Linked DNA regions of Anolis sagrei. The protein of the gene in region 2 purifies or fractionates together with the protein of the main gene of each other region. This does not show direct contact. Links are inferred from orthologs where the notes say so. Each region holds a gene or a part of one and is shown on either strand. Other genes may lie near its edges. The genes, in order: IGSF8, CD9 and ITGA6.

The links.
Region 1: the proteins of CD9 (region 2) and IGSF8 purify together in Homo sapiens (affinity purification with mass spectrometry; 5 studies listed by BioGRID and IntAct, counting the BioPlex papers as one, with this or other methods). This does not show direct contact. The link is inferred for Anolis sagrei from reciprocal best matches to the Homo sapiens genes CD9 and IGSF8.
Region 3: the proteins of CD9 (region 2) and ITGA6 purify together in Homo sapiens (co-immunoprecipitation; 3 studies listed by BioGRID and IntAct, with this or other methods). This does not show direct contact. The link is inferred for Anolis sagrei from reciprocal best matches to the Homo sapiens genes CD9 and ITGA6.

What each region holds. Positions count from the first base shown.
Region 1 is NC_090032.1:7,677,409-7,684,643, reverse strand, and holds the start of IGSF8 (immunoglobulin superfamily member 8), read right to left. Parts: upstream 4,374-7,235; 5' UTR 4,168-4,373; coding exon 4,065-4,167; intron 1-4,064. UniProt on the Homo sapiens protein: Member of the immunoglobulin superfamily (IgSF) that links tetraspanin-enriched microdomains to the actin cytoskeleton and plays several important roles in innate and adaptive immunity.
Region 2 is NC_090025.1:103,252,073-103,259,307, reverse strand, and holds the start of CD9 (CD9 antigen), read left to right. Parts: upstream 1-2,981; 5' UTR 2,982-3,104; coding exon 3,105-3,170; intron 3,171-7,235. UniProt on the Homo sapiens protein: Integral membrane protein associated with integrins, which regulates different processes, such as sperm-egg fusion, platelet activation and aggregation, and cell adhesion.
Region 3 is NC_090021.1:193,436,501-193,443,735, forward strand, and holds the start of ITGA6 (integrin alpha-6), read right to left. Parts: upstream 5,107-7,235; 5' UTR 4,994-5,106; coding exon 4,827-4,993; intron 1-4,826. UniProt on the Homo sapiens protein: Integrin alpha-6/beta-1 (ITGA6:ITGB1) is a receptor for laminin on platelets. Integrin alpha-6/beta-1 (ITGA6:ITGB1) is present in oocytes and is involved in sperm-egg fusion.

The DNA.
Region 1 (7,235 bases), on a different chromosome or scaffold from region 2:
TTCTAAAGGTGAGGAGGGATGACGATGACCTAATTTCCCCGGGGACCAAATTCCACAGGCGGGGGGACACCACCGAGAAGGACCTGTCCCTCATCCCCGCCAAGCGTGTTTGAAAAAGATCTTGGATCTGAGGAGGGTCTGTAATTGATTAAATGGACGAACCCAGAGGTGATTCTCCCCAAGGCTTCCTCTTCATCCTGGAAAGAAGTGACGAGTGGAGTGCCGCAGGGTTCCATCCGGGGCCCGGTCCTGTTCAGGATCTTTATTAATGACTTAGATGAAGGGCTAGAAGGCAGGATCATCAAGTTTGCAGATGACACCAAATTGGGAGGGAGAGCCAAGACTCCAGAGGACAGGAGCAGAATTCAAAATGATCTTGACAGATTAGAGAGATGGGCCAAAACTAACAAAATGAAGTTCAACAGGGACACATGCAAGATACTCCACTTAGGCAGAAAAAACGATACAGAATGGGGGACAATGCCTGGCTCGAGAGCAGAAAAAGATCTTGGTGTTCTCGTGACAACAAGTTAAACATGAGCCAACAATGTGACGTGGTGGCAAAAAAGGCCAATGGGATTTTGGCCTGCATCAATAGGAGCATAGTGTCTAGATCTAGGGAAGTAATGCTCCCCATGCTGTATTCTGCCTTGGTTAGACCATACCTGGAATATTGTGTCCAATTCTGGGCACCACAATTCAAGAGAGATATTGACAAGCTGGAATGTGTCCAGAGGAGGGCGACTCAAATGATCAAGGGTCTGGAGAACAAGCCCTATGAGGAGCGGCTTAAGGAGCTGAGCATGTTTAGCCTGAAGAAGAGAAGGATGAGAGGGGATATGATAGCCATGTATAAATATGTGAGAGGAAGCCACAGGGAGGAGGGAGCAAGCTTATTTTCTGCTTCCATGGAGACTAGGACGCGGAACAATGGCTTCAAACTACAAGAGAGGAGATTCCATCTGAACATGAGGAAGAAATTCCTGACTGTGAGAGCTGTTAAGCAGTGGAACTCTCTGCCCCGGAGTGTGGTGGAGGCTCCTTCTGTGGAAGCTTTTAAACAGAGGCTGGATGGCCATCTGTCGGGGGTGCTTTGAATGCAATATTCCTGCTTCTTGGCAGGGGGTTGGACTGGATGGCCCTTGAGGTCTCTTCCAACTCTTTGACTCTATGATTCTCTCCTGACGTTTCGCTCACATCTATGGCAGGCATCCTCAGAGGTTGTGAGGCCTGTTGGAATAGGCAAGTGCCGTTTATATATCTGTGGAATGATGTCCAGGGTGAGAGAAAGAACTCTTCTTTGCTTGAGGCAAATGTGAATGTTGCCATTGGGACCACCTTGATTAGCACTGAATAGCCTGGCAGCTTCAAGGCTTGACTGCTTCCGGCCAGAGCGAATCCTTTGTTGGGAGGTGATTAGCTGACCTGATTGTTTCTTGTCTGGAATTCCCGTTTTTGGTGAACCAACCTGGACACAGAGTTTTATTTGAGAACACATAAATTCCGGAGCACTCTAACAACCACCATGTCAGACTACACAGAGAAGCCACTGAAATCCACAAGCATGTGGACAATTTCAACAGAAAGGAGGAAACCATGAAAATGAACAAAATTTATTTATTTATTGAATGACATTTATACCCCACCCTCTCTCACCCTGAAGGGGACTCAGAGCGGCTGACAAGTTATATGTACATACAGTATAACGGCACGCCATGCAATCATGCTGGCCACATGACCTTGGAGGTGTCTATGGACAACACTGGCTCTTCGGCTTAGAAATGAGCACCACAGAATCATAGAATCAAAGAGTTGGAAGAGACCTCATGGGCCATTCAGTCCAACCCCAATCTGCCAAGAAGAGGAATATTGCATTCAAATCACCCCTGACAGATGGCCATCCAGCCTCTGTTTAAAAGCTTCCAAAGAAGGAGCCTCCACCACACGCCGGGGCAGAGAGTTCCACTGCTGAACGGCTCTCACAGTCAGGAAGTTCTTCCTCATGTTCAGATGGAATCTCCTTTCTAGAGTTGGTCACGACTCGACTTAATGTCAGGGGAAAACCTTTATCTTTACCTACACTTTATTATATTATTAGCATAGCACAAAAAGAATGATTGACAACTGGGAAATAGAGGGAGAAAACATGGAGGTAGAGACAGACTTTGTATTTCTAGGTGTAAAGATTACTGCAGACGCAGACTGCGGCCAGGAAATTAGGAGACGCTTCCTTCTTGGGAGGAAAGCAAGGGCCAATCTCGATAAAATAGTGAAGAGTAGAGACATCACACTGGCAACGAAGATCCGCATAGTCAAAGCAATGGTATTCTCCATAGTGACCTACAGATGTGAGAGCTGGACCATAGGGAAGATAGATGCTTTTGAACTGTGGTGTTGGAGGAAAGTGCTGAGAGTGCCTTGGACTGCAAGAAGATCCAACCAGTCCATACTTCAGGAAATAAAGCCAGACTGCTCATTGGAGGGAAGGATAGTAGAGGCCAAGATGAAGTACTTTGGCCATATCATGAGAAGACAGGAAAGCTTAGAGAAGACAATGAAGCTGGGGGAAATTGAAGGAAAAAGGAAGAGGGGCCGACCAAGTCCTTGAAGTGACTGGATTGACCTTGAAGGAGCTGGGGGTAGTGACGGCCGACAGGGAGCTCTGTCATGGGCTGGTCCATGAGGTCACAAAGAGTCTGAAACGACTGAACGAATGGACAACAACAACACATAGCACAATATTATTATTATATATTACTATATTGTACTATACCACTATACTGCAATATTATTATCAATATTACATGTATTATGTAATATATGATTATTATATTGCTATATTGTATTATTAGTAGTATTATATTGTAGTATTATATTGTATTATATTGTATTACATTATTTACATTATTTACATTATTTAAAAAACTTCTAAAGCCCAGACAGTAAATAAAGAACCACACTCAAAAACAGGAGAATTCCAGACAAGAAACTATCAGGGCCAGCTAATCACCTCCCAACCAAGGATTCCCCCAGGCAGGAAGCAGCCAGGCTTTGAAGTTGCAAGGCTATGGAATGCTAATCAAGCTGCCCTACTGCAACAATTATACCTGCCTCCAACAGACAAGACTTCTTTCTCCCACCCGGGCATTATTCCACAGACATATAAACACCACTTGACTAGTTTCCAACAGATCTCACAACCTGTGAGGGTGCCTGTCATAGATGTGGGTGAAACATCAGGAGAGAATGCTTCTGGAACATGGCCATACAGGCTGGAAAACTCACAGCAATCCAGACAGGAGTGTTTCTCCCACACTGGACATCATTCCACAGATATATAAACCCCACTTGCCTAGTTTCCAACAGGCCTCACAACCTCTGAGAATGCCTGCCGTAGATGTGGGTGAAACGTCAGGAGAGAATGCTTCTGGAACATGGCCATACAGGCTGGAAAACTCACAGCAATCCAGACAGGAGTATTTCTCCCACACTGGACATCATTCCACAGATATATAAACCCCACTTGCCTAGTTTCCAACAGGCCTCACAACCTCTGAGGATGCCTGCCATAGATGTGGGTGAAACGTCAGGAGAGAATGCTTCTGGAACATGGCCACAACAACCCAATGAATCAGTCTTGGATTTCCCCAGTCCCCAGCTATCTCACTTCTTAGAGTCTATCTGTCAAACCCAATTGCTCAAGCATAAACCCCACCCAAAGACTCCATCTCTCCACCTCCCTTTTTGCAGGAATTGCTTCTTTTTGGAGACGTTTTTCAAAGGGAAAAAGAGAAAGGAAAGCAGGAACGTGAGAGGAAAGGATTAAGGGGGGAAGGGAGAGCAAGGGATTAGCTATGAAACACGGCTCCCCACTTGATCCAAGAGCCCCCCGATTTTGAATGGCTCTCTTGCAAAGAGGGTCCCCCCAACCGTCTCCAAGGCGTTGTCTTGTGCGCCTTTGCGCCTTTGGGCGCATCTCAAAACGAGGGAAGATCTCCCCCCAAAAACACACTCCAATGAAAGAATCCTTCCTTTGCCGCCTCCCCCCACATCATTGGACTCACCGACCAGAAGGAAAAAGACGTGGATCAGCCACGGGGGGGTCTTGCGAGGAGCATCCATTGCAAGAGAGGAACAGAAAGGTGGGAGCGAGTGGGCAGGGCGCATGGATGCTGTTGCTGCTGCAGTTCCTCTCCCTCTTGTTCCTCTTTGGCGCCCGGATCTGAGCCAACCTTTGACCCCCTCCCCAAAATGAGGTTTCCCCTCGCCCTGGCCTTCTGGCTGCCCCCTTGTTCAAGAGATAAGGGGGTGAAGGGGGCTTCTTGGCTGGCTTGCCCGCCTTCTCGCTCGCCACGCCCCCGCCAGATGTGGAGAGGAGGAGACAAGGGAGGGATGGGTGAGTGAGTGGCTCATGGAAAAGACCCTCCCTCCTCTTCCCTTCCTGCAGTGACTCTGTGCATGCTCAGAACTCATTTGTGGCCTTTTTGTACCAAAGATAGAAACACATTTTGACTATTGGTTTTTTTTCAAATTAGAAGAATGCTACTAATAGTCGAAGGGTATATTAGGGACATCTTTTGGGTGTCGAACAGTGAAGAAGTTAAAACCAGCAGACAGAGTCCGCACTGTTGTATGCATAGTATGTTTCCTGTTCTTGTATGTACAGTATACAAGAACTGTTGTATACGTAGTATATGTGTGCTGTTGCACGCTGGGCCTGTGCATAAGACTGTAGACAGGACATAAATTCCGTGTGCCCAACGGGACGCTGGGGCTGCCTCAGATTAACGGCCTTTGGATTTCCTTAAAACAGAGTCTTTAGATTGCTTAAAGGTTCAACAAATTCTTTATTATTGAAAACAAACAGGTACTTTAAGGCTTTCTTAATAGTCTATTGGCTCTCTCTCCAATCTTGTCCACAGGGAACAGGCGCTATCTTCATAAACTGTATACTAACTAATGGGGAAATCCTTAACTTCTAATCTGGGCAGTCTGTCTTTGCCCCTACACCCGGTACCAACTGCTTCTGGCTTCCGCGAGTTACCCTTACCAACAGGCCCATAGCCAGGATTTCGATTCGGGGGGGGGGGGGGGGGGGGGGGTGTGAGTTTTTTTTAGGGGGATTTCGGGGAGGGTGAGTTTCGGGGGGGCTGAGTCTGAGTGAAAGAGGGTCTAGCCTAGCAAACCTTTTGTATCATTACCCCAATACCCCCATGCACATGGGATATATTGAGTATGGTGATCAGATCATGATATGAATAAACATAACAGTTTAAATAATGCACCAGCAAGGCCTTTTCGCGAACCACCATGAGAATTTCGGGGGGGGGGGGCTGAAGCCCCTCAAGTCCCCCCCCCCCCCCCCCCCCCCCCGGCTACATGCCTGCTTACCAAGCAGAGCTTTGTAGACTTCCAGGGAAAAAGGAGTTCAGGTTTCAGTGATGGCTGACTGAAGTCCCACAGCAAAAGAGCTGTAAGGCTGTATGATCCTCGGCCAAGCTGTGGGCTGTATAACCTTGGCCAAGCGGTGAGCTGTATATCTCCCCGGCCAAGCTGTAGAAGACAAAGCTTTCTACAGGAGCTCTTGGTATTATGTCCTGCATGAAAGGCTTCTCTGTGTGGACTGAACCCAAAAAGGCTCCTATTCCCTCCAAAAACCCAAAAAGAGACCTAACTATAATTGACAGGTGGCTTGCCCTATGATTGCAGCCAAAAGAAGCCACCTATCTGCAGAGTCCCTGAAACTTAGGACCACAACAAACATCAAATGCAAAGCAAACAACATTGGAGCTCCTGGTGCGGTTGTACCTGCACAATATGTTTACTGCTTACTGTTGTATGCAGAGTAAACGTTTGCTGTTGTATGCATCTATATAAATAAAAATATAATGTTCGTTTGTGGTATTCACAGAACTCAAAAACCAGTGGGCCAATTGACACCAAATTTGGACAACATACACCTAACAACCCAACCTATATCCTTCACTCAAAAAAGTTTTGATTTTGTCATTTGGGAGTTGTAGTTGCTAGGATTTATAGTTCACCTACAATCAAAGAGCATTCCGAACTCCACCAATTATGACATTGAACCAAACTTGGCACACAGGACTCCCATGACCAACAGAAAACACTAGAAGGGTTTGGTAGGCATTGACCTTGAATTTGGGAGTTGTAGTTCACCTACATCCAGAGAGCACTGGAGACTCAAACAGTGATGGATCTAGACCAAACTCTACACAAATACTCAATATGCCCAAATGTAAACACTGGAAAATATAATCTTGACATTTGGGAGTTGCAGTTGCTGGGATTTATAGTTCACCTAGAATCACAGAGCATTCTGAACTCCACCAACCAATGATGAAATTGAACCAAACTTAGCACACAGTTATCCCATGACCAGCAGAAAATACTGGAAGGGTTTGGTGGGAAGTGTTCTTTGGTTTTGGAGTTGTAGTTCACCTACATCCAGAGATCACTGTGGACTCAAACAATGATGGATCTGGACCAAAATCTACATGAATACTCAATATGTCCAAATGTGAACACTGGTGGAGTTTGGGGAAATAAACCTTGACATTTGGGAGTTGTAGTTGCAGAGATATAGTTCACCTACAATCACAGAGCATTCTGAACCCCACCAACGATAGAATTGGGCCAAGCCTCCCACACAGAACCCCCATGACTACCAAAGTGGGCCACAGCAACGCATGACAGGGGATGGCTACTTTTATCTTTATAAATAAAAATGTAATATTCATCTTTGGGATTAACAGAACTCAAAAACCGGTGAGCCTATTGACACCAAATTTGGACACAATACACCTATCAGGCCAACAAGTGACCATCACTCATAAAAAATTGAAAAACACAGCAGAAAAGACTTAAAAAGCCAAAAAAAAAACCTTACAACACATGCGCAAAACCACACATATACACAAACACACATACACAAATATATATACACATATATGCATATATATACACACAAAACACAGAAAGGGGGAAGGAAGGAAGGAAGGAAGGAAGGAAGGAGAGAGGGATAGAAGGAGGGAAAGAAGGAAGGAAGGCAAGAAGGAAAGAAAGGTAGTGAAGGAGGTAAGGAGAGAAGGAAATAAAAAAGTGAAAGAAGGAAAGAGAGAGGGAAGGAGGGAAGGAAGGAAAGAGAGAAGGAAGGAACCAAAGAGCAAAGGAAGGGAGGTAAGTAACAGGTAGAGAATGAAGGAAGAAAAAGG
Region 2 (7,235 bases):
ATCCAGATGAGCACCACACCCCAGAGTCAGACACGACTGGACTTCATGTCAGAGGAAAACCTTTAACCAGGAAAATCTTGGAAGATCCAGGGTGGGAGAAAGAACTCTTGTCTGTTGGAGGTAGGTATGAATGTTTCAATTGGCCACCTTGATTGCCATTTCATAGCCTGACAGTTTTTAGGGAGAATCCTTTGTTGAGAGGTGATTAGCTGGCCCTGATTGTTTCTTGTCTGGAGTTCCCCTGTGTTTGAGTATTGTTATTTATTTACAGTTATAATTTTAGATTTTGTTCAGACTGGAAATAGGAAGATTTCCCATTCTCTTCTCCTGGAATTGCTGTCTAAAGAGGGCTAGAAAGAACCCCCTCTAAGGGTCCTTCCACACAGCAAAATAAGATATGTGCAATGTGCATAGGAATTTTTTAATTGATTTTTTTTAAAAAACTATAGTCCGGCCCTCCATCGGTCTGAGGGACAGTAAACTGGCCCCCGGTTTAAAAAGTTTGAGGACCCCTGCCCTAGATGGTCCAAGTTTAGGTATTTGACTGACCACATCTCCTTGTGTGAACCTGCCCAGTCCTTGAGATCTTCAGGAGAGGCCCTTCTCTTGGTCCTACCTCCATCTCAAGCACAGTCGGTGGGAACGAGAGAGCAGGCCTTTTTTCTCAGTGGCTGTCCTTCAACTCTGGAACCCCTGCCCAGGGAAGCCAAAATGGCCCCTTCTCTTCTGTTCCTTCCAGCGGCAGACTAAAACCTTTTTATTCAGGCAGGCTTTTAAATATGAAGGTGTTTAAGGCAGGGGGTGCTGTGGATTTATATGCTTTTATGGTTTTAACTTCAATTGGTTTTAATATGAATTATGCTTAATATTATTTTCATATTTGTATATTGTATATTTTAAGTTGTATCGTAATACTTTTAATTGTGAGCCACTTTGAGTCTCCATATGAAGAGAAAAGGTAAGATATAAGTAAACATAACATGCTGCCTAAAAAACTCACAGCAACCCGGCATTATTTTCATTAAGGAAAATTACAAACTCAGGGCCTAGAGACTGGTGGAAATAATAGTACTCCCCTCAGCCACAGAAAATGAAGTTTCTGGAGTATAACAACTACTTTCAAAGTAAGTACCGCACAATTTAACAAGAAATAACACTTTCAAAGCAGGTGAAAGCTTCTCTGGGACCAAAGGGAAAAGCAGTCTTTCTGGAGCCCAGCAAACAGTCCCAGTGTAAGTGGGAGGGGAGGGGAAAGAGAGAGAGGGAAGAAGAGGGAAAGAGAGGAAAAAAGAGAGGGGGAGAAGGGGAGAGACAGAAGAGTGAGTGAGGGGGAGGGGGTCAGAGAGAGAGAACAGAGGGAGGGAGGGAGGAGAGAGAAAAGGAGGGGGAGAGAGATGAGAGAGGAAGAGAGGGAGGGGTGAGAGAGAGGGGGAGGGAAGGAAGGAAGGGGAGAGTGAGGAGGGGAGAGGGAAGAAGAAGGGGAGAGGGAAGGGTGAGAGAGGGAGGGGTAGAGGGAAGAAAGAAGAGAAGGAAGGGGAGAGAGAAGAAGAGAGGGGGAGAGTGAGGTGCTAGAGAGAGGAGGGGAGTGGAAGAAGAGAGAGGGGGAGATGGAGAAAGAAGGGAGAGGGAGGGGTGAGAGAAGGAAGGGTAGAGGGAAGAAAGAAGAGAAGGAAGGGGAGGGAGAAGAAGAGAGAGGGAGAGTGAGAGAGGAGGGAGGGAGGGGGAGTGGAAGAAGAGAGAGAGGGAGAGAGAAAAAGAGAGGGGGGTGAGGGGCCAGAGAGGAGGGAAGAAGGGAGAGGGAGGGGGAGAGAGGGGGGAATGGGAAAAGAGAGGGAGGGAGATAAAGAAGGGGAGAGGGAGGGGGAGAGAGAGGGGGGAGTAGGAAAGAGAGAGAGAGAGATAGCAGGGGGAGAGAAGAGAGGGAGGGGGGAGAGACAGAAGAGAGGTGGAGTGAGAGGGTCAGGGAGAAAGAGAGAATAGAGAGGGGAGAGGGAAGTGGGAGGGATGGGAAAAGGGAGAGAGAGGGAGGGAGGGGAGAGAAAAGGAGGGGAGAGGGAAGAGAGTGGGAGAGAGTAAAGGGCCAGAGAGATGAGGGAGTAAGGGGCGAGAGAGAGGAGGGAGCGAAGGAGGGGGAGAGGGAGGAGGGGAGAGGGAGGGAGAAAGGGACAAAGAAGGGGAGAGGGAGGGGTAGAGGGAAGAAAGAAGAGAAGGAAGGGGAGATAGAAGAAGAGAGGGGGAGAGTGAGGTCCCAGAGAGGAGGGAGGGGGTGAGAGAGAGGGAAGAAGAGAGAGACATGGAGAAAAAAGGGGAGAGGGAGGGGGTGAGAGGGGGGTAGAGGGAAGAAAGAAGAGAAGGAAGGGGGAGAGAAAAAGGGGCAGAGAGAGAGGGGAAGAAGGGAGAGGGAGGGGGGAGAGAGGGGGGAGTGGGAAAAGAGAGGGAGGGAGTTAAAGAAGGGGAGAGAGGGGGGAGAGGGGGAGTGGGCAAAGAGAGAGAGGGAGATAGAAGGGGAGAGGGAGGGGGAGAGAAGAGAGGGGGAAGACAGAAGAGAGAGGGAGGGAGGGGGTCAGGGAGAAAGAGAAAATAGGGGGAGAGGGAGGGGAGGGAGGGATGGGAAAAGTGAGAGAGAGGGAGGGGAGAGAGAGAAGAGAGGGAGGGGAGAGAAGAGAGGGAGGGAGAATAAAGGGCCAGAGAGATAGAGGGGGAGAAGAGAGGGGGGGAGAGGCAGAAAGAAGGAGAGAGAGAAGAAGAGAGGGGGAGAGAAGAGAGGGAGGTGTAGAGGGAAGAAAGAAGAGAAGGAAGGGGGGAGAGGGGAAGAGTGAGGAGGAGGAGAGGAAGAAAGAAGAGAGGGAAGAGTGGGGAGAGAACAGAGAGAGAGGGAGAGATGAGGGAAGGGCGAGAGCGGGGCCCGCAGGCCTGGCGTGACGCCGGCGAGGGCGGGCGGAGGAGCCCAGGGAGCGGCCCTGGGGGCCGGGGTGGAGCCCGCGACGAGCCGGTCTGAGGAGTGGCCCTAGGGAGCGCCTTTCCCTGCCGGGGCTGCTCAGACGCGCCTCCCGCCTCGCCACGCAGAGAAGCACCGCCGCTCCCGCTGCCTTCGAGTCGCCGCCATGCCCGTCAAGGGGGGCACCAAGTGCATCAAGTACCTGCTCTTCGGCTTCAACTTCGTCTTCTGGGTGAGTCCCCAGCACTGAGAGCAGGCTCGCCTCAGCCGCCGCTCACCTGGGCAAAGAAACTCTCCCCTCCCCTCCCCCGCCCGGTCGAAAACCGAGCGCGAGCCCCTTCTCCGAACCCTTCCGAAGCGTTCCGAGTGAGGCTTTTTTTCCCCTCCTTTCCGAAGAGGCATTTGCTAGGGAACTCTAAATGCAGAAGGAACTTTAGCGCGCGCGCTCTCCACCGAGTAGAAGCCGCCCTGGTTGGCTTCTTTGAGGCAAAAAAAGCAAGAAAGCCCCGGATGGTGGGCACGCGGACCCCCCCCCCCCTTCTTCTCCCTTCCCAACCTCCCAGGTGCCTGGCTCCTTGGAAGGTGAAGCCACAGTAGTGCGTTCCCATCAAAATACTGTAATACTCCAATAATAATAGTTGGTAGAGACCCCATGGGCCATCTAATCCAACTCCTTGCCATGCAGGATAAGCACAAAGTACTCCTGACAGATGGCCATCCAGCCTCTTTAAAAAAAAAAAAAACCTCTAAAATCAGGACAGTAAATAAAGAGCAACACTCCAAAAGCAGGGGAATTCCAGACAAGAATCAATCATAGCCAGCTAACACCTCCCAATAAAGGATTCCACCAAGCAGCAACCAGCCAGGCTTTGAAGCTGCAATGCCATTAAAAGTAGTCAGTTACAACATTCACACCTGCCTCAAACAGACAAGCGTTCTTTCTCCCACTCTGGATATTCCACAGATATATAAACACAGATATGGAGCCCCCAAGATGCAGTGGGTTAAAGCGCTGAGCTTGTTGACTGAAAGGTCGCAGGTTCGAATCTGGGGAGCGGCGTGAGCTTCCGCTGTCAGCCCCGGCTTCTGCCAACCTAGCAGTTCGAAAACATGCAAATGTGAGTAGATCAATAGGTACTGCTCCAGCGGGAAGGTAACAGCGTTCCATGCAGTCATGCCGGCCACATGACCTTGGAGGTGTCTATGGACAACGCTGGCTCTTCAGCTTAGAATGGAGATGAGCACCACACATGAGCTTCCACTGTCAGCCCTAGCTTCTGCCAACCTAGCAGTTCGGAAACATGCAAATGTGAGTAGATCAATAGGTACCACTCCGGCGGGAAGGTAACGGCATTCCATGCAGTCATGCCAGCCACATGACCTTGGAGGTGTCTACAGACAACGCTGGCTCTTCAGCTTAGAAATGGAGATGAGCACCACACCCCAGAGTTGGAGACCACTGGACTTCATGTCAGGGGGAAACCTTTACCTTTACTATAAACCCCACTTGCCTAGTTTAGACCTCACAACCTCTGAGGATGCCTGCCATAGATGTAGGTGAAATGTCAGGAAAGAATGTTTCCAGAACATGGCCGTACAGCCCAGAAAACTCACAGTAACTCATCCAGCCTCTGTTTAAAAGCTTCCAAGTAAGGAGCCTCCACTATACTCCGAGGCAGAGAGTTCCACTGTTGAACAGCTTTTCCAGGGCCTTTCCACACAGCCATATAATCCAGACTATCAAGTCAGATAATCCACAATATCTATTTTGCACTGGATTGTCTTTGTCTTATGTTTGTTATAACAGGCTGTGCTTTTTATTTAATTTTAGTTTGTTAAGTTACAATTCGCATTAATATGTTGGGTTGTATAAATTTTGTTATTATGGATGTATTGTTGTTGTATTTAGGCATTGAATGTTTGCCTTTTATGTTTGGAATCTGCCCTGAGTCCCTCTGGGGAGACAGAGCAGAGTATAAATAAAGTTTTGTTATATTACTAGCCATCTCCTGCCACGTGTTGCTGTGGCCCAATCTGGTGATCTCAAAAATAAAGTAATGAGAAAGTGTTGATTTCTAATATATGTAATTTCTTTTTGCTTGTGGGTAAACAGTATTACTTGCTGTTTCTTTGTCAGTGTTGATGTGGAGAGTGTCTGGTTTGCCCACCCTGGAACATGGAACATATTATTGTCCTTTAGGGATCCCTTTCAAATCTATGATATTATATCTGTCATATACATATATATGTGTATGTGTGTGTGAATCAAATATACCTATCTATATCTATGGCTAGATGGTTCTTTGTCAAGAGGGCTTTGATTATGTTTTCTTGTCCTGGTGAAGGGTGTTGGACTGGATGGTCTTAAGGCAGTATATCTCAATTTGGGGGTCACAAGGGGGGTGTTATAGGGATGAGGTCTGTCTACAGTGAAATAGAGTGGGACTGTGACTTTCCTCGGTCTAGACACTATATTCCTGTTGATGTATCCTAGAAGCATATTGGCTTTTTTAGCTGCCACATCTTTCTATTGCAATGTTTCTCAACCTGGGGGTCAGGACCCCTGGAAGGGTTGCGAGGGGGCATCAGAGGGGTCACCAAAGACCATCAGAAAACACAGTATTTTCTGTTGTTCACGGGGGTTCTGTGTGCCAGGTTTGGCCCAATGCTATCGTTGGTGGAGTTCAGAATACTCTTTGATTGTAGGTGAACTATAAATCCCAGTAACTACAACTCCCAAATGTCAAGGTCTATTTTCCCCTAACTCCATCTGTGTTCACATTTGGGCATATGGAGAATTTGTGCCAAGTTTGGTCCAGATCCATCACTGTTTGACTCCACAGTGCTCTCTGGATGTAGGTGAACTACAACTCCCAAACTCAAGGTCAATGCCCACCAAACCCTTGTAGTATTTTCTGTTGGTCATGGGAGTCCTGTGTGCCACGTTTGGTTCAATTCCATCATTGGTGGAGTTCAGAATGCTCTTTGATTGTAGGTGAACTATAAATCCCAGCAACTATAACTCCCAGATGTCAAAATCAGTTTTTTTAGTGATGGTCACTCCTTGGGTTATTAGGTGTCTTGTGTCCAAATTTGGCGGCAATTTGTCCAGCGGTTTTTGAGTTATGTTAGTCCCACAAACAAACATTACATTGTTATTTATATAGATGATGATGATGATGATGATGATGATGATGATGATTATTATTATTATCTGCCATATAGTCCAATTCAATGCCACCTTCTGGACACCTTCCAGCTTGTCTATATCTCTTTTGAACTGTGGTGCCCAGCAGTGGACAGTATTCCAGTTGAGGTCTAACCAAAGCGGAATAGAGAGGGACCATGACTTCCCTCGATCTAGACCCTATACTCCTTTTGATGGATCCCAAAATCCCATTGGCTTTTTTAGCTGCTGCATCACATTGTTGGCTCATGTTTAACCAGTTCTCCATGAAGACTCCCAAGATCTTTGCCGAGTATTAATTTTGGAGTGTTTGTTAAGTGATTTGATTCTCACTTCTTTTTTGTGGCTTGATATATCTGGAGAACATCGATGGAAAATATATTTCTTTATCAGCATCTGGATGATCAGAGGACATGCCACATTTGAATCCTATCACAGAGTACATGGAGATGATCTCATATTGTCCTCACAGTGGCCCATGTATTAAATTTGTGAGAAAATGGCCTTTAAATGTCAAGCAAAAAGTTTCATGACCAAGCTTTATTTCGATCAATAACACTATGTAACACAATGTTTGTTCCTGGGTTATAAATGTCATTTCTGTCATAAAAAAACATGGGAAGAGTGTATTAAACTGCCCAACGTTTGTTCTCGTGGGACATACCGAGGTGATAGTTTTTCAATTATAATATCTTCAAGAGTTGCAACCAATTCAACATAGTTTGTGGCAGTCACAAAACAAAGTTTCAGGAGTAGAATAAATACTTTCAAAGTAAGGATTGTACAATTAAATAGCAAATAACACTTTCAAACCAGGAATAGAAACTGTTTCAATTTTTGTTACATAAAAGTAAAGGTTTCCCCTTGACATTAAGTCTAGTTGTATCCGACTGAGGGGGTGGTGCTCATCTCCATTTCTGTTGTCTGTAGACGCCTCCAAGGTCATGTGGCCGGTATGACTGCATGGAGTGTTGTTACTTTCCAGCCAGAGCGGTACCTATTGATCTACTCACATTTATATATAAAATATAAAAATTTATTTATATACCGCTCTATCTCATCATATTTTATGGTGATGTTGCTTGGTAGGGAGAGATGGGTCTTAAATGC
Region 3 (7,235 bases), on a different chromosome or scaffold from region 2:
ACACTCTACAAAATAAAATAATAAAAAACACATTTCATTGTAGCTGCATCAGTAGAGGTTCAACAAACCAATAGCCAGGATTACAAAATGAACATGGCCAACTATTAAAGGGCTGGGCAAGCGATAGTGCAAACAGTGTATCATAGGGCCGGGGAAGTGGATGAAGTGATAGAACATGTCCATACAGGTCAGAAACTACATAACATCCCAAGGCCCATTACTTTTACAAAATATCTGCTTCAGCCCAAGAGGAACACTAGCTAGAACTGTTTTGTTGATGTGGTTCCACCCAGCCACCTATCAGTGTATCTACACTATAAAAATAATGCAATGTGGCACCCCTTTAAACTGCCATGGCTCAATGCTATGAAATCATGGGAGTTGTAGCTTTGCAAGATCTTCAGCCTTCCCTGCCAAAGAGTGTTAGTGCCCCCATCAAACTACAAGTCCCAGAATTCCACAGCATTGGGCCAGAGCAGTTAAAAGTAATGTCAAACTGTATTGATCCTACAGTGAAGATGCAGCCTCAGAGTCAACCCTATCAACTATCCCAAATTCTACCCTGTAGAACGAATGCAGTTGGATGGCACTTCAACAGCCATTACATGTTAATGAGGAAGAAGACATGAAAGCAAGGAAAGGCTGACATTGCATGCTTATGTCTAATGCTGCATGGGTTTGAAACACACAGCTGGCATGAGCCCCATGCTGCATTCAATCTGCTGTTTAGACAAGGCATGGACAAACATAGGCCGTCCAGGTGTTTTGGACTTGAAATCCCAACCACTTTACCAACCGTTAGGAATTGTGGGAACTGAAGTGCTAAACACCTGGAGGGACAAAGTTTGCCCATGTCTGGTATTTCACTTGATAACTTTCCTAACAGGATTGTTATGAGAGCCTCCTGCTACATAATTTACACGTTGTTGTTGTTTATTCATTCAGTTGCTTCCGACTCTTTGTGACCTCATGGACCAGCCCACACCAGAGCTCCCTGTTGCCCGTCACCACCCCCAGCTCCTTCAGAGTCAAGCCAGTCACTTCAAGGATACCATCCATCCATCCTGCCCTTGGTCGGCCCCTCTTCCTTTTTCCTTCCATTTTCCCCAGCATCATTGTCTTCTCCAAGCTTTCCTGTCTTCTCATGATGTGACCAAAGTACTTCATTTTTGCCCCTAATATCCTTCCCTCCAATAAGCACTCGGGCTTTATTTCCTGGAGTATGGGCCAGTTGGATCTTCTTCCAATCCAAGGTACTCTCTGAATTTTCCTCCAACACCACAGTTCAAAACCATCTATCTTCCTTTGCTCAGCCTTCCTTATGATCCAGCTCTCGTATCCATAATTACTATGGGGAATACCACTGCTTTAACTATGCAGATCTTCATTGCCAGTATGATATCTCTACTCTTCACTATTTTATCTGCGTCTGCAGTAATCTTTGCACCTAGATATACAAAGTCTCTCACTGCCTCCACATTTTCTTCCTCTATTTGCCAGTTGTCAATCAGTCTGATTGCCATAATCTTGGTTTTTTATGTTTAACTGCAACCCAGCTTTTGTACTTTCTTCTTTCATCTTGATTAGAAGGCTCCTCAGCTCCTCCTTGCTTTCAGCCATCGAAGCAAGGAGCCCCCGGTGGTGCAGTTGGTTAAACCCCTGAGCTGGCAGGACTGAAGACCGACAGGGGAGAGGCGGATGAGCTCCTTTTGTCAGCTCCAGCTCCTCGTGCAGGGACATGAGAGAAGCCTCCCACATGGATGATAAAAACATCAAATCATCCAGGCATCCCCTGGGCCATGTCCTTGCAGACAGCCAATTCTCTCACACCAGAAGCGACTAACAGTTTCTCAAGTCGCTCCTGACACAACAAAAAAAAAACGCCATCAAAGTGGTATCATCTGCATATCTCAGGTTGTTAATGTTTTTTTCCAGCATTTTTAACTCCAGCCATGGATTCGTCAAGACCCGCACGTTGCATGATGTGTTCTGCATACAAGTTGAATAGGTTGGGTGAGAGTATGCAGCCCTGCTGTACTCCTTTCCCAATCTTGAACCAGTCTGTTGTTCCCTGGTCTGTTCTTACTGTTGCTTCTTGGTCCATATACAGATTCCTCAGGATAATTTATGCTACAACACCTTTAAAACTCCCTCCCTGAAATGAAGTGCATAAACCAGCAACATGATGAAAAGAAACTGAAGTCAAAAGTCTCCTGGTCGCTCAAGAGAACCATATCTGAAGACACCACAGAGAAGGAAAGGCTTCCTCCTTCTCCTCCCACTGTGTTTCATCTTCTGCTCTCAGTGGTGGCACAGTGGTTAAACCCCTGTGCCGGCAGGACTGAAGACCGACAGGTCGCAGGTTCGAATCTGGGGAGAGGCGGATGAGCTCCCTCTATCAGCTCCAGCTCCTCATGCGGGGACATGAGAGAAGCCTCCCACAAGGATGATTAAAACATCAAATCATCCGGGCGTCCTCTGTCCTTGCAGATGGCCAATTCTCTCACACACTTGCAGTTTCTCAAATTGCTTCTGACACGACCAAAAAAAGTGGTGACGCAGTGGGTTAAACCCTTGTGCCTGCAGGGCTGCTGACCAACAAAACGAAGGTTCCAATCCGAGGAGAGTGGGTTGAGCTCCCTCTGTCAGCTCCAGCTCCACATGCGGGGAGATGAGAGAAGCCTCCCACAAGGATGGTAAAACATCAAAACATCTGGGCATTCCCTGGGCAATGTCCTTGCAGACTGCCAATTCTCTCACGCCAAAAGTGACTTGCAGTTTCTCAAGTTGATCCTGACACTGAAAAAAATCTTCAAAGCAGGCACATTCCACCAGAGCCTTTCCACCTTGGCATCCTGTCTTTTCAAGTTGCTTTTCCTCCCAGGACAACCACCTCATTGGCTTGTTTTGGGCCCGCCTTTTGGCGCTGGGTTGCTGAGCTGACCTGCGAGGCTCGCCTTCCCTTCAGGGGAGGCTGCTTGTGTTGCTCTGCCCACACAACACACACCCAACACACACACACACCCTGAAGCCTTCACATTCTTGGTTAAGGATGCCAAGCCTATTGGGCTGGGCTGTTTTGTTGTGTTTTGAATCTGCTTCGGAATCTTGTTTCTTTTAATATGGCGCTGTGTGAAATCAGGTAGCACTTCCGGAAAACAAACGTTTTTGCAACATCTACAACAGGTAGGGGCAAACTTCGGCCCTCCTGGTGTTTTGGACTTCAACTCCCACAATTCCTTATTGTGGGAGTTGAAGTCCAAAACACCAGGATGGCCGAAGTTTGCCCCTACCTGTTGTAGATGTTGCAAAACCTTTTGCTCGACGTTAGTTAGTAACCAGACAACACATTCCTCACAAAGCGCGGGAAAGGAGGGAAAAGAGCTCTGTGGAATTACCAACCGAGCCTCGAATACCGGGTTGAAACTGCTCTAAATGGAAAGCGTAGATACTAGGGTCATAGCTCTCAATGCTTGATCAGTCCCATGATTTTGCCTCCATTCCTCATCTGTTGTTGTTGTTTTTTTCTCCTCAGATCTGAGCATGCGCTTGCAAACAGGTGGCTTCTCCGAGGTTTCAGTTCAAATAAAACAGACGCAGCCAAACACTTAAGCACGACTTCCAGGGTTTTGTTTTTTTCCCCTTGTCAGGAGCGACTTGAGAAACTGCAAGTCGCTTTTGGTGTGAGAGAATTGGCCGTCTGCAAGGACGCTGCCCAGGGGACGCCCGGATGTTTTGATGTTTTACCCTCCTTGTGGGAGGCTTCTCTCAAGTCCCCGCGTGGGGAGCTGGAGCTGACAGAGGGAGCTCATCCGCGCTCTCCCCGGATTGGAACCTGCGACCTGTCGATCTTCAGTCCTGCCGGCACAAGGGTTTAACCCAGTGTGCCACCGGCGTTGGAAGGTAGGGATCAAGGCCCCACTCCGGCGGAAGTGGGTCCAGCCTCTCCCCTTCCCTCCTTCCACACCTCCCTTCCCAGAGATGGAAAAGGCGCGACTCAAAAGCCAAAAGAGTTTGGAGCCCAAGTTTCCAATCCTACACTCACAGAGAGCCCCCAAAGGCCATCCAGTCCAACCCTTTTCCCTGCAGGGAAAGAACAAGACGATCCCTTCAAAAATGCCAGCCTGATCTGCTTTTAGAAGTCCAAAAAAGCTCCCAAATTGCAACGCCTTGGTGGGACTGGTTCTAAATATAGGGGAAAACTCGTGGTTAGAGTGGGTCCAGCCTAAAAAGGATCAGGTGAGACTCAGGGCCCTTCCACACAGCCCTATATCCTAGGATATCAAGGCAGAAAATCCCAGAAGATCAGCCTGGAACTGGGTTAACTGAGGGTCCTTCCACACAGCCATATAACCCAGAAGATCAAGGCAGAAAATCCCCCAATATCTGCTTGGAACTGGATTATCCGAGGGTCCTTCCACACAGCCATATATCCCAGGATATCAAGGCAGATAATCCCACAAGATCAGCCTGGAACTGGGTTATCTGCGGGCCTTTCCACACAGCCATATAACCCAGAACATCAAGGCAGAAAATCCAATATCTGCTTTGAACTGACCCTTCCACACAGCCCTATATCCCAGGATATCAAGGCAGAAAATCCCACAAGATCTGCTTTGAACTGGGTTATCTGAGTCCACACTAATGTGGGGTTTCCTGCCTTGATGTACAAGGTCCTGGGAGCTCCCAATGGCCACCGCCATCCACGCCAACCTGGGCACTCAGGTCTGAGTTGGGCAGGAGTGAAGTCCAGCCAAGCAGCCTCTAGAGGTATGCAAAGGCAGAGACCTCTCTATCTATGTGTACACTCTGGTGCTCCTACTCACAGCCTCCTCTCCTGCGGCTCCAGCTGCCGGTGCATGGCCAGGGAGAAGCCGAAGAGGCTTCCGGGCTCGCCGCTCCACAAGACCACATTGCCGACGTCCAGGTTGAAGGCGAGCGCCAGCCCCGGGAGGAGGGACAGGTACAAGGCGGGCGGCGGCCGAGGCAGCATGCTTAAGGGTCCCTGGAAGGGCCGGAGTCCCGCGGAGGAGAAGAAGAAGAAGAAGAGGCCCCGGGCTCACGGCTGCCTCCCTCTCTCCCTCCCTCCCTCTGAATGAGCCCCTTGTTCTCTCCAGAGACTCGCTCCCAGTGACGAAGGAGGGGCCGAGCTCCGCCCCCACAAACAGGCGCCGCCCCCTTGAAACCTCGCCCCCAACCTCGCCTCGCACTCTGGAGCAGACCCACGAGAGTCAGGCGGATCCACTGCGCGGTCGGCGCTCCTCCAGGGACGGATCCCAGGGCTTGTTGGGGGTTTCAGGTGGGAAAGCAAAATCTACTTGGCAGCTCCCGTGTGGACGGGAATCAACCACACTATGATCATAATATCATAATCATAATAATACATTTTGGGTTGCTGTGACTTTTCCGGGCTGTCTGGCCATTTCCCAGAAGCATTATCTCCTGACGTTTCGCCCACATCTGTGGCAAACATCTTCTGAGGTTGTGAGGTCTGTTGGGAACTAGGCAAGTGGGATTCATATGCATGTGGAATAATGTCCAGGGTGGGAGAAAAGTATATGTATGACTTTTCCGGGCTGCGTGGCCATGTTCCAGAAGCATTCTCTCCTGACGTTTCGCCCACATCTATGGCAGGCATCCTCAGAGGTTGTCAGGTCTGTTTGAAACTAGGCAAGCGGGGTTTATATGCATGTGGAATAATGTCCAGGGTGGGAGAAAAGTATATGAGTTTTCCAGGCTGCGTAGCCATGACCCAGAAGCATTCTCTTCTGACGTTTCGCCCACATCTATGACAGACATCCTCAGAGGTTGTCAGGTCTGTTTGAAACTAGGCAAGTGGGGTTTATATGCATGTGGAATAATGTCCAGGGTGGGAAAAAAGTATATGAGTTTTCCGGGCTGCGTGGCCATGTTCCAGAAGGATTCTCTCCTGACGTTTCGCCCACATCTATGGCAAGCATCCTCAGAGGATGTCAGGTCTGTTGGAAACTAGGCAAGTGGGATTCATATATCTGTGGAATAATGTCCGGGGGGGGGGCGGGGGGGGGGGCGGAAACAACTCTTGTCTCTTTGAGGCAAGTGTGAATGTTGCAATTAATCACCTTGATTAGCATTGAATAGCCTTGCAGCTTCAAAGCCTGGCTGCATCCTGGCTCAAAGAACTGAACTCACGGTGGTACCAAAGAATAAGTCCATTAACTCCTCTATGTGGCAGCCTTTTGACTATTTGGAAACCACTGTCTCTCCAACCCCCTCCTTTTATGTCCCTTCACCCAAAGAGGGTTGATTGACAGGAAGAGAAGGACGGGCCTTTTCTGTGGGAGTTGTGGAATTCCATCCCACTGAGGCGAAGACTAGCTTCACCCTTCATTGCATGTGAAGTGAACCATGAAAATATTATTTTTCTGCTTGGGATGGCATGATCCTTAAAATAGGTTTTAATTCTAATGCTTTTAATATATAGTTTTAATCTAGTGTTGATTTTTATGTTTTATTCAGTGTTATTCTTTCTTTGTAAGCTGCTTTAGAGGAACTTGTTGGAGTTGAAAATCTTATCCACTGGGATACGGTTCCAGTATGCCAAAATTTATGTATACTCAAGTCATTATATGCAATGACATAGTTCAGTGGTTCTCAACCTCCCTAATGCCACAACCTCTTAATACAGTTCCTCATGTTGTGGTCACCCCCAACCATAACATTATTTACGTTGCTACTTCATAACTAATTTTACTACTGTTATGAATCGTAAGGTAAAATATCTGATTGCAGGGTGTATTTTAATTCACTGGACCAAATTTGGCACACATACCTGATGCGCCCAAATTTGAATAGTGATGGGGTGGGGGTGGGGATTGATTTTGTCATTTGGGAGTTGTAGTTGCTGGGATTCATAGTTCACCTACAATCAAAGAGCATTTTGAACTCCACCAATGATGGAATTGAACCAAACTTGGCACACAGAACTCCCATGACCAACAGAAAATACTGGAAGGGTTTGGTGGGCATTGACCTTGAGTTTGGGAGTTGTAGTTCACCTATATCCAGAGAGCACTGTGGACTCAAACAATCATGGATCTGGACCAAACTAGGCACAGATACTCAATATGCCCAAATATGAACACTGGTGGAGTTTGGGGAAAATAGACCTTGACATTTAAGAGTTGTAGTTGCTGGGATTTATAGTTCACCTACAACCAAAGAGCATCCTGAACCCCACCAATGATAGAATTGGG